Saccharomyces cerevisiae S288C: one gene and its partners. Changing the gene in region 1 together with any one later gene gives a genetic interaction. Each region holds a gene or a part of one and is shown on either strand. Other genes may lie near its edges.

Region 1 (3,762 bases):
ACTTCAGAAACCGAGTGTAAAGCATGAACTGATGTTTGTTTACATATATCGTCTTTGATAAATAAATCACACGACGTTAATGCTGCCAATTTTCTGACAGACGAATCCTCATGCTCAATGTAAGAAATGGTTATAAGCCTAACAAACTCCGTCAAGGAATATTGATGATGAATTAGTTGCAGCATTTTAAAACACTGAATCAAAATTTGGGCATCTGTAATATCGTCATTAGATTCACCAGTTTTTTTCATGAAACTTTGGTTTCTTGATTTACGAGCCTTTTCAATGGAAAATTGATTATTAAAATCGTATTGGTTTGATTGAATAAATTTTTCACCAGATAAGGATATCGACAGTAAATTTAGTATCCTCGAATTAACGGTAGATTCCAAAGAGGGTATTTTCTCGTTAAGGATCATTAAAGTCTCCTGCATATGGTCGGACATTGGACAGTTTAACATCAAATTAAGAAGATCTTTGTTCAAGTGCTTAGCAAAAGCTGGGCCCAAAGCACAAGCTAATTTACCAATGCAATAAAATAAATCCTTCTCGAATTGTTTTCTAACTTTGAATTTCGTTCTTAAGCCTTCCCTAATATTATCCAGAATAAGTGTCATATAGGGTGAAATGCTCGAACCAACTTCAAATGCAATATCACCTATAGAAACTAATATAAAAGGTTTATCCGAATTATTTGCAGCATTCATATCGATGTTCTTCAAATATCTTAAATAATGAACCATTATCCTATCGAGATATTTCTTTGTGAAAATGGCAGGGTCAAAAGCAGCTAAAAGAGGTAAAATAGCATAAACTTCTCTCCTTATAACATCAAATTTATATTCCTTGTACTTCATAGTAGATTTGTAAATATCATCATATTTATCCCTGAGATAAGGTGCTTTCAAGCTGAGTAATTCTCGAAATACCAACAGAGTAGCATGCACTGAATCATTCGTATTGAGACTTAAGCCATGTGTACAACCTTGAAATAATCTTTGAAACCACTGTTTTCCCAAAGCAGGGTCTCTATCCTGAATAATAGTAAGACATTTACCCAATGCCACTGCGGCATCTAATCGTATAATTAACTTTGCATCCCTTAATGGCACCCAAATATTGTCTAAGATAGAGTTAACGTAAGGGTATAAAAGATAGGGTGAATTGTCTGCTAATGCCTTTATGATTAATAGCGCAGCATGTCTCCTGTATTCCAACTTAGAGCTCGATGAGTTATTATCTGCTGTCAGAGTAAGCCAATCAATGCAAGTTCTGACCTCAAATTCGACGAAATCTGATGTTAATGTACCACCTGGCACGGTCAATCTACCTAAGGTGTTAGCCGCTAATCTCATAACTTCAATGTCACTGGATGGAATTAAAACACGTAAATAGTTCGCCAGTCTTGAAGTTTGGTTTGGCAGCTCCTCTGTACTCAGGTAGAATGAGATCAGAGTATCAACAGCAAGAATACCACCTATCTTCTCACTTGAAGTAAACCCGTGAATAAGTTCAAATATCTTATTGTTTAAACTGTTGCTAAACCTTTGAAATTGCTCAGCAGATACTTCCCTTGCTAATGAGGTCAAAGTAGTGCTTAATTCATTAGCGCCAGAGGCTCGTTCTTGTGGCACATCGCTTTTAAGTTTATCAAAAATCAAATTTAAAGTAGAAAATGTTGTATCTAGTTCTGAATCTACAAAGGATATTTTACCAATATGACCAGCAGAACCAGTGATCACTCTACCAGAGTCATTGGGCCCATTGTGATTGGAATCTGTGTTTGAAGTAGTTGACATCTCATCATCGTGGGAGTGCGATTTGTGTGTAAGTTTCTTTCTTGTTCTGTGTTTGCCTTCGGCCCTTTGTCGTAAAGACAATAAGTTAGGTGGCGTGGTGTATTTGTTAATGTATTTATTCATTTTTCATATGGGGAAAGTAAAGATCAGAAATCTCTTTGAGAAAGATAACTATTTGATCTTAATGACTATGCTCTTTATGCACCCGGTATATTTTCCCTTTCTACTGCTCCTAATCTACCTGTAAATAAATACAAGTAAAGCTCAGTTAAGGAAGTGATTGGTGTCACGATGATAAAAATTGGTCTTTCCTACTGTCATTACATTTCTTCCAATTTTAATTGCTGCCATATATGTCAGTCTCTATTCAAACATATTCAGTGCTTAAAAAGGAATATCCGGGTAAATATTCTGACATCGCCCAAGAAATATACGATATAACTTAAAGAAAAGAGTTGTAGTAAGCTAATAGCATTAAGATTAAATGTATGTTTGATTAATTGCAATATCATGATGTTATAGAGTAACGTGGTATAATTACCACGATTCCGTCGAATTGTTTGCCACTTATCACTGGCGCCAAAATGCAGCAGTATGTAAAAAATGACGGTAATAAATATATAATACAAATGCATAGAGGAAAGGCTATAGAAATGAAGAGATTCATGAATTTTCAGTCAGGTTCTCCGACTTTTAATTGCTGTGCCCCTCCTCCTGCTTCTTTTTTTCCTCTTCTTCGTTCTTCTTCTTTTCTTCCTCTTCCTGCTTCTTCTTTTCTTCATCTTCATTCTTCTTGTTTTTCTCTTCCTGCTTCTTTTTTTCCTCTTCTTCGTTCTTCTTCTTTTCTTCATCTTCATTCTTCTTATTTTCTTCATCTTCATTCTTCATCTTTTCTCCTTCTTCCTGCTTCTTCTTCTCTTCTTCTTCCTTCTTCTTTTTCTCCTCTTCCTCCTGCTTCTTCTTTTCTTCTTCTTCCTTCTTTTTCTTCTCTTCTTCTTCCTTCTTTTTCTTCTCTTCCTCTTCCTTCTTTTTCTTTTCTTCTTCTTCCTTCTTCTTCTTTTCCTCTTCTTCCTTCTTCTTCTTCTCCTCTTCCTCCTTCTTCTTCTTCTCCCTCCGCTTTCTTTCTTCAAGTAACTTGGCATAAGCATAGTCCTCGTATACAATAATAGGGTCCTTATCAAACATTTGAATACCCTTTCTGTTAACGTCGGATAAAGTTGGCGCAAAAAGGTCTAAACCATATGAATTTAAATCCAAAAAGGAGTTGCTACTAAAGTTTAAATTTGATTTAAAATCCACAGGATTTACTTCAACAGTATTAGCAGGAGTATAATCTTCTGTGTTATCATCTAGAGTTGTTCCAGTTTCATCAAAAGTAATGTTGAAAAGTGAAAAATTCCTGTATTTCAAACTTTCGGACAGATCAATAATTTTTCCGACATATTCTTCATGAACAATCTTGGTAACTTGATCTAATGTAGTCTGGTTCATAGATTTTGATAAATCCTTCCACATAGCTTTTTCATAACCAAAAAGAAATGGGTCCTTTGCAGGGGAGCTTAACTTAGGAGCAACATTAATGCGCAATTGATGTAATAATTTCTTTTTTTCAATAAATGTCAGGTTTTGGCAGTATTGAATTTCCAATTCCTTTTGCCTATATGCAGTGACATTGAAGGAATTGTACAAGTTAGTAAATACCTCGATAAAGCCAGCTTTTGGAATATTTTTATAAATTAAGCGAACATCATCCATGGATAGGTTTTTGAAAGAGTATTCAGAGACTTTGTTGGAATCAAAAAGTTTCGACTCAAATTTCGTAGACGATATTTCTTTCAAGAGGTTCGGATTCCATGAATTAATACTGGGGATGTTTGGATACCATGAATTAATATTACTGCATTTCTTTAACCCGTCATAGTCGAACCAAAATCTAAATTCGGGCAAATAAGCAGTATTTTTG
Region 2 (3,589 bases), on another chromosome or scaffold:
CGGTATTATTCATTAAATCATCACAAGCAGACTCCATTTTCTTAAAAAATCTATTACAAAGAGAATTTGAGATTTCACCCGAATTGGCCACTGTTGATTTGGAAAAACACTCTCATGGCTATGAATTAGAAAAGTATATCAAACAAAATAAACTAAATATCGATACTAGTGCTGCCTTGGAATCCATTCAGTCGCCTTATTTATTTTTGAATGGTATTTCCGTGATAAATCGTGGAATGGTGAGAGATATAATCGAACCTCATTCGAAGGGATTGCTACTACCTCTTCTAAAGTCTGAAGCGCGTGGCAACTTGCTGGTAGAAAAAAAAGACATCCCTTCTAATTCTTAATTTGTTATCACTCCTATCGACGAGCAGCCGCAGCTAAAAGAACGTTTTAATTATTCCCAAATTCACGTAAGCGATCCTCTTTATGTGCTATATATACATTCATAACATAGTCATTGCATTTTCTATCATACGATTCAACTTGAACAAGTGTTTAACCATTTACGTCGTAAATGTCTACAGTATTATCTTTGGTCGTTGTTGTGGATTCATGCTTTTTTCTTTTCGAGAGCTCTTCGTTTTCAGAACTCAGCTCTTCCTTTTCGGACGACTCCCTTCGACTATTCTCCGTACTTGCTGGTTCGTAGTTAAAAAAGCATTCCCCCCACATGCAAAATATTCCTTTCATATATCCATTCTCCTTTACATATAATACTTTACATTTGGCAAATGGACCTAGTACTTTCCTCGTAGCTCGAGAAAGCTGGTTCAAATCAGAGTTCCTTGGCAAAAACATAATCACATTAGGGCTTAGTTTAAGAAAACTTTTCAACATCTTGGTAATCCCCATAGGCTTTAGATGTTGCTCTAAGTCATACACATCGTTTCTTAAGTATTCTGGACCACCCCACGGGGGTGATCCAAATACACAGTCGTACTTTATTTTGGAAAGTTTCTGCTTAGAGACTAGCTTTTTCCAGGATCCCCGCTTCAGCCATATTCTGTCGTCCACACCGTAGCTTTGGGCGTTTTTCGCAGTACAATATATGTGTTCAATACTGTAGTCCACTCCATAGACGTAAGGAAATTGCATGGCAAATTGTATGGTGTTCCCGCCCCCACCACAGAAAACATCCAGTATTCTTTCGGCATTTGGCATGCATGCCTTAACAAAATTTGCCAGGAAGCAGGCAATTCTTTCGGGCGTCACACTGAACCACAGCTCATCAGTCATATATATCGACGCCGAATCTATCTTTGAAAACAATCTACGCCTATTTTTCCAGTATTTGAAAAGTTTACCATTTTTCAACGGTTTTGATGATTCTATCTTATAGGCATCATTGTTCAATAATTTGATCAGAGTTCTAAAGTTGGAATGATGTTTTCTTTTGCGTGCCGCATGTTTTATTTTCGAAGCATGAATAAATGTCCTTCCCATCACTTCAGTTAAATCAACAAAAATTTTTTCTTCTACTTCTGTCTGTTGCCCCCACAACACGGTATATAATATGGGCAATCAATACAACGAAAAACTTACTCGCTGTTTGCGGAATAACTCACTTCCCCTTCATATAGTTTGGTGCGATGCCTTAGAATTTTTCATACATTGTTTTCATGTGGAAAATATTCAAAAAAAGCGATGGCTGGCGAAGATAAAAAAAAGGCTGCTCCAGCCATTCATTACACAGGCAATTCAATATTTCGGTTAGTAAGATAAAGAAGTCGATATGCCTATCCTTAAACATGTTCAACTGGGATAACCAGATTGCTGGGCTTTCAGCAGGTCATCAATTCTTGTACAAATATGTTGTATATATAGATTTAAGTGCTTGATAATTCGGTTGACAACTTAACGGCTTAACAAGTAAAACAAGAACAATTAACTTAACAATAGTGCTCAAATAAATTTGGCTTATTATCACAACAAATATATCATACGGAATGATCATCAGAGCTCCAATAAGGACAAAAACCAAGTCGTTTAGAGGCGATCAAATGGATTTTAAATTCCCGTCTAACGAAAGTTTACCAAGAGGAACGCTAGAAGAGTACCATTTGAATAATCATCATCTTTTAAATGATGTGTTTGCAGCAGAAAATGGAGTTTCTCGCGATGAAGACGGAAACTCTCAAACATTATCAGACTATACATCCACTTCCAATACAAATACAAATTCCGGTTATTCATCAAATGGATACTATTCATTTGCTAACATTTCTGACAATACTACGTCTTCACCACGTATTGTAATCAATCAAAATGAAACCGCTAGATTAACTTCCTCAGACTCGAACAAAAGTGACTTTTTTGCTTCTCATGACTTCCCAGGAAATGACTCTCTTCATTATAGCAGCTCAAATGTAGTTAAAAACCAGTTACATTCAATGGAAGCTATTCCAGAGGGAAACATAACTGGCTCAATCTCAACGGCATTCCAGACTATCCCAACAGCAGATAATGTTTCCTACGATATCGCGCCGTCATCAGCATCATCGTTATTACCAAGGAAATCGACATCTAAAAGCGCCATTCTGCCGTCGACCCAAGAAGCCAAACCGATGACCAAATTAAATATGGAAAAGGATATAAAAACTATCGAATTAAACAATAGCGTAGTACCGAAACCTAAAAAAAAGCTAAACAGAGTTCCGACCATAAGACGAGTTGAATCCTCGAGGTTTTCCAATTCCAGGTATAGTTCAAGTGTCAGCAGTAAATCAAGTAGCAGTCGTTGTTCTCTAAAACGATCAAAAGCTATTAGATGTAAGGGCGGACTCTTATATTATTTCACCTCATTGGGAATCAAGATAAAGAAAAAGTTACGGAAATTACGGCTAGTTTTAAGAAGAAGACTGTTTTCATATAATGTTCAAAAGGTCCCCTCCGCCACGAATTCCAAAACCACTAAATCTAAAGCAAACATTAACAACAAGTCAAAAAAAAGAGGGACGAACCTAGTCAACAAAAACAGCAACTCTACTCCGCGTCAAAAAAAATCGCAGAGATACGTCTCTAATTTACAACGGTCGATCTCATCAAAATCTTTAGTACCTGTATTGGCTCCACAAAAAAAGACTAAACCTTTGACAGTTGATACGAAATTTAAAGCAAACCATCCCCAATCTGAAGATTCCAAAGTTGGATCAAACACCCCAAGGAGCCCTTTGGTAAGCTATACTCCATCATTGAGAAGAACAAATTCCTCTATTAGAAGGGCTGCATCCATCCTAACCGCATCTGCCACTATGACACCGGCAAATAATAAAAACTCCTTCATTTCTGTACCGGATAATGTTAGTCATGCCGTCACTCGCAACAGCAGCATGTACTCGAGGTCAAGATTGGTAAGGTCAAAACCATCGACGGCCCTAAATGCAATTGCAAGACAGCCATCAATTGTGGTAGAAAATAAAGTTATTCCGTTATCCATGAATCGATATTCTATTAAAGAGGAAGACGAATATGTAATTGATACTAGTTCTATGAGAGAATTATCTCCCGTTAATAGCGTTTGCTCATCTGATTATGACAGAGAATCATCTGAAAGCTACTCTAATTATGCGGATGCAATGGAGAC
Region 3 (2,924 bases), on another chromosome or scaffold:
CTTTCCGCCAAACCTTTTACTGAGAATGGAGTTGGCAACCCTGTTTCATCTCAATCACATCCCAACATGACTAACTACCAAGAGGATAATAGTTGCAGTATCAACGATGAAATACTTAAAATGGTTAATAGCGTGGCTGCATCCAAACCAGTTTCACCCACAGGCTTTAACGTTCATGATCTACTTCTTCCTTCAACTAACAACCAGATGCCTGCTATGGAACAATCACACTTGCCACAGCCAGGTAATCAAAACAACCATTTTGGAACTACAACTATTCCGAATGCGTTAGACTTGGCTACAAAATCTTCTTTACAGACTGAAAACAACTATTTAATGAACTCACAAACTCTGGAAAATACAAGTCTATTGATGCATAATAATTCATCGCCAACTAAGCTATTGCCAAATGACTTTGGTTTATCATCTTGGGGTGGTCTGACAAATACAATGTCCATAAATCCTACATGTAAACCACCGGTTATTCAAACTTCAGAAATGGAATCACAAGCCCATAAATCTAGTCCTCAAGCTACAATGCCATCTTTTGGACTACCTAATGGTGGTACTCACCGTAAATCGTTTACCGACGAGTTGAACACTTTAACTAGCATGCTTTCTTCTTCCGGGTTCGCAGATACATCACTTTCATCATCAGGATTCCCCCCATCACAGCGTTCTGTGTGGAATGATCAAAAAAGCTCATTTTCGGGACCGTCGACTGCAGGAAACTTTAACAACAGCAGTATACAAAGCGGTATGCTGCTCGCACCTACATTAGGAAGCGTTGAATCGTTTCCAAATCGAACTTCTATCTGGGACAGCAGCACCACTCCGATGATGAATAAATCCGAGCTTTCCGGTCGCAATATAACTAGTACTGCGCAAGATAGCCCTGCGTTCATGGCATCAAATATCTGGTCTAGTAACAGTCAATACAATTCACCATATTTGACTAGCAACGTCCTTCAATCCCCTCAAATTTCGAGTGGAGTGGATGAAAGCCACATTCTGGATAGCATCTACAATACTTATTTAGCTATTTCCCCACAAGATAGTTTAAACCCCTACATTGCTATCGGGACACTATTCCAAAATTTAGTAGGACTTAACTTGGATTACTCGACGTTTATCAACAAATTGATAAGCATGCAAGGAGCCTACAATTGCGAATTCTTTACTGATAACAATGGATCCATTACCCACGTTCGATTTGCGAGACAAACTCCCGCTGGCCACTCAAAGGGGTTGCTGAATCAACTCTTTAGTGGATTGAACGATCCAACTGCTACACCATTTACGTCAAGGCCTCATACCTCCACAAGGGCTAGTTTTCCAATTGCCTCTTCAACTACGCAAACGTCTTAAATTTGCTCCGGTACGCAGGGCCAAAAATATTTACATACATACATAATTCGACGAAATTTCAGAAGAGACACTAAACAATCGTACATCTCTCTACTCGATGTGAGCCACGCGTCGGTTTTTCTTACCGTCGTGGCTTTAGAGGTGAGGCTGCGACACCCCATACATCTTACCCGGCATTTAATTTCCATTTTTCGCAGGAATGTGAATATGATAATAGACTTCGGTACACTCTTTTTTAGGTATAACATATATCAATTGTTCAACAACAATTATTCAAAGCGCAACTCTCCAAAGGTAGTTATTCTGATAATTTGAACCAAAAGTCCCCAGATTAAGTCTTAATTAAACTGCCCTTGCATACCGCTGTAAACGATTTGTGTGCAGACATCAATTGCTGAAACGTTCTGCTTTGGTTGTGCTTTTGATCCCGTACTATGTCTGAAAAGGCCGTTAGAAGGAAACTTGTTATTATTGGTGATGGTGCTTGTGGCAAGACCTCTTTACTATATGTATTTACATTAGGAAAATTCCCTGAACAATATCATCCGACAGTGTTCGAGAATTATGTCACTGATTGCAGAGTTGACGGAATAAAAGTGTCCTTAACGCTCTGGGATACAGCGGGACAAGAGGAATATGAACGTTTACGTCCATTCTCATATTCAAAAGCAGATATAATATTAATTGGGTTTGCTGTAGACAATTTTGAATCACTAATTAACGCAAGGACGAAATGGGCGGATGAGGCATTACGATATTGTCCTGACGCACCAATCGTTCTTGTAGGCTTGAAAAAAGATTTGAGGCAAGAAGCCCATTTTAAAGAGAATGCTACCGATGAAATGGTTCCCATTGAAGATGCAAAACAAGTTGCAAGGGCCATTGGGGCCAAGAAATACATGGAATGTAGTGCACTGACTGGTGAGGGTGTGGATGATGTCTTTGAAGTAGCTACAAGAACCAGTTTGCTTATGAAGAAGGAACCAGGGGCTAACTGTTGCATAATTTTATAAAAAAAACTTACACTGAAATGATACATTATCTTTTTAGCAAGGGAGGGAAAAACAATACCGTATTATAATTTTAATCAAATTTCATAGATATAATGGAATAAGTTAAAAAGGCTTATCGATAGTGCATGTATAAAACACAAACCCATTCGATATGTTTGTTCGTTAATGTCCTACAGATTCTTATTCGAGAGCCTTTACCAGAAGCAAAATTTCCGACGGATATAAGAAAATGGCACATCAAACCATAGCTCAAGGTACTGCGCCGATGAGCTAAACGGAACTGCCTAGTTTGATTATTTTTCGTTTATATACTTATTTACTTATTTACGCTATTTGTATTCGAATTCCTTACGAGGCGATGAGTGAAAGACGCGCCAGTAGGACGCGTCTTTTTTTTTTCAGTATAATGTAAACATATTATTGAATTGCCGAAGGAGACAAAAAGAAAAGAAAAGAGGAGATCATCTTTCATATAATCCAACCACGTCGTAGAGCAAACCACGACAATTTTAACTTTCTGTTTCAGTTAAAGGAGTTTATAAC

The links.
Region 2: mutations in TOR2 (region 1) and TGS1 together harm fitness more than expected from each alone (negative genetic interaction), as found in Saccharomyces cerevisiae (3 studies listed by BioGRID).
Region 3: of TOR2 (region 1) and RHO2, extra expression of one rescues a mutant of the other (dosage rescue), as found in Saccharomyces cerevisiae (3 studies listed by BioGRID).

Annotation. Positions count from the first base shown.
Region 1 is NC_001143.9:61,438-65,199, forward strand, and holds the start of TOR2 (phosphatidylinositol kinase-related protein kinase TOR2), read right to left. Parts: upstream 1,923-3,762; coding exon 1-1,922. Other genes in the region: MNN4 (Mnn4p), read right to left, coding at 2,493-3,762. UniProt on the Saccharomyces cerevisiae protein: Phosphatidylinositol 3-kinase homolog, component of both TORC1 and TORC2. TORC1 regulates multiple cellular processes to control cell growth in response to environmental signals. Nutrient limitation and environmental stress signals cause inactivation of TORC1.
Region 2 is NC_001148.4:252,674-256,262, reverse strand, and holds TGS1 (RNA methyltransferase), read right to left. Parts: upstream 1,450-3,589; coding exon 502-1,449; downstream 1-501. Other genes in the region: pheromone-regulated protein PRM4, read left to right, coding at 1-350; AIM44 (Aim44p), read left to right, coding at 1,953-3,589. UniProt on the Saccharomyces cerevisiae protein: Catalyzes the two serial methylation steps for the conversion of the 7-monomethylguanosine (m(7)G) caps of snRNAs and snoRNAs to a 2,2,7-trimethylguanosine (m(2,2,7)G) cap structure.
Region 3 is NC_001146.8:454,763-457,686, forward strand, and holds RHO2 (Rho family GTPase RHO2), read left to right. Parts: upstream 1-1,802; coding exon 1,803-2,381; downstream 2,382-2,924. Other genes in the region: NST1 (Nst1p), read left to right, coding at 1-1,368.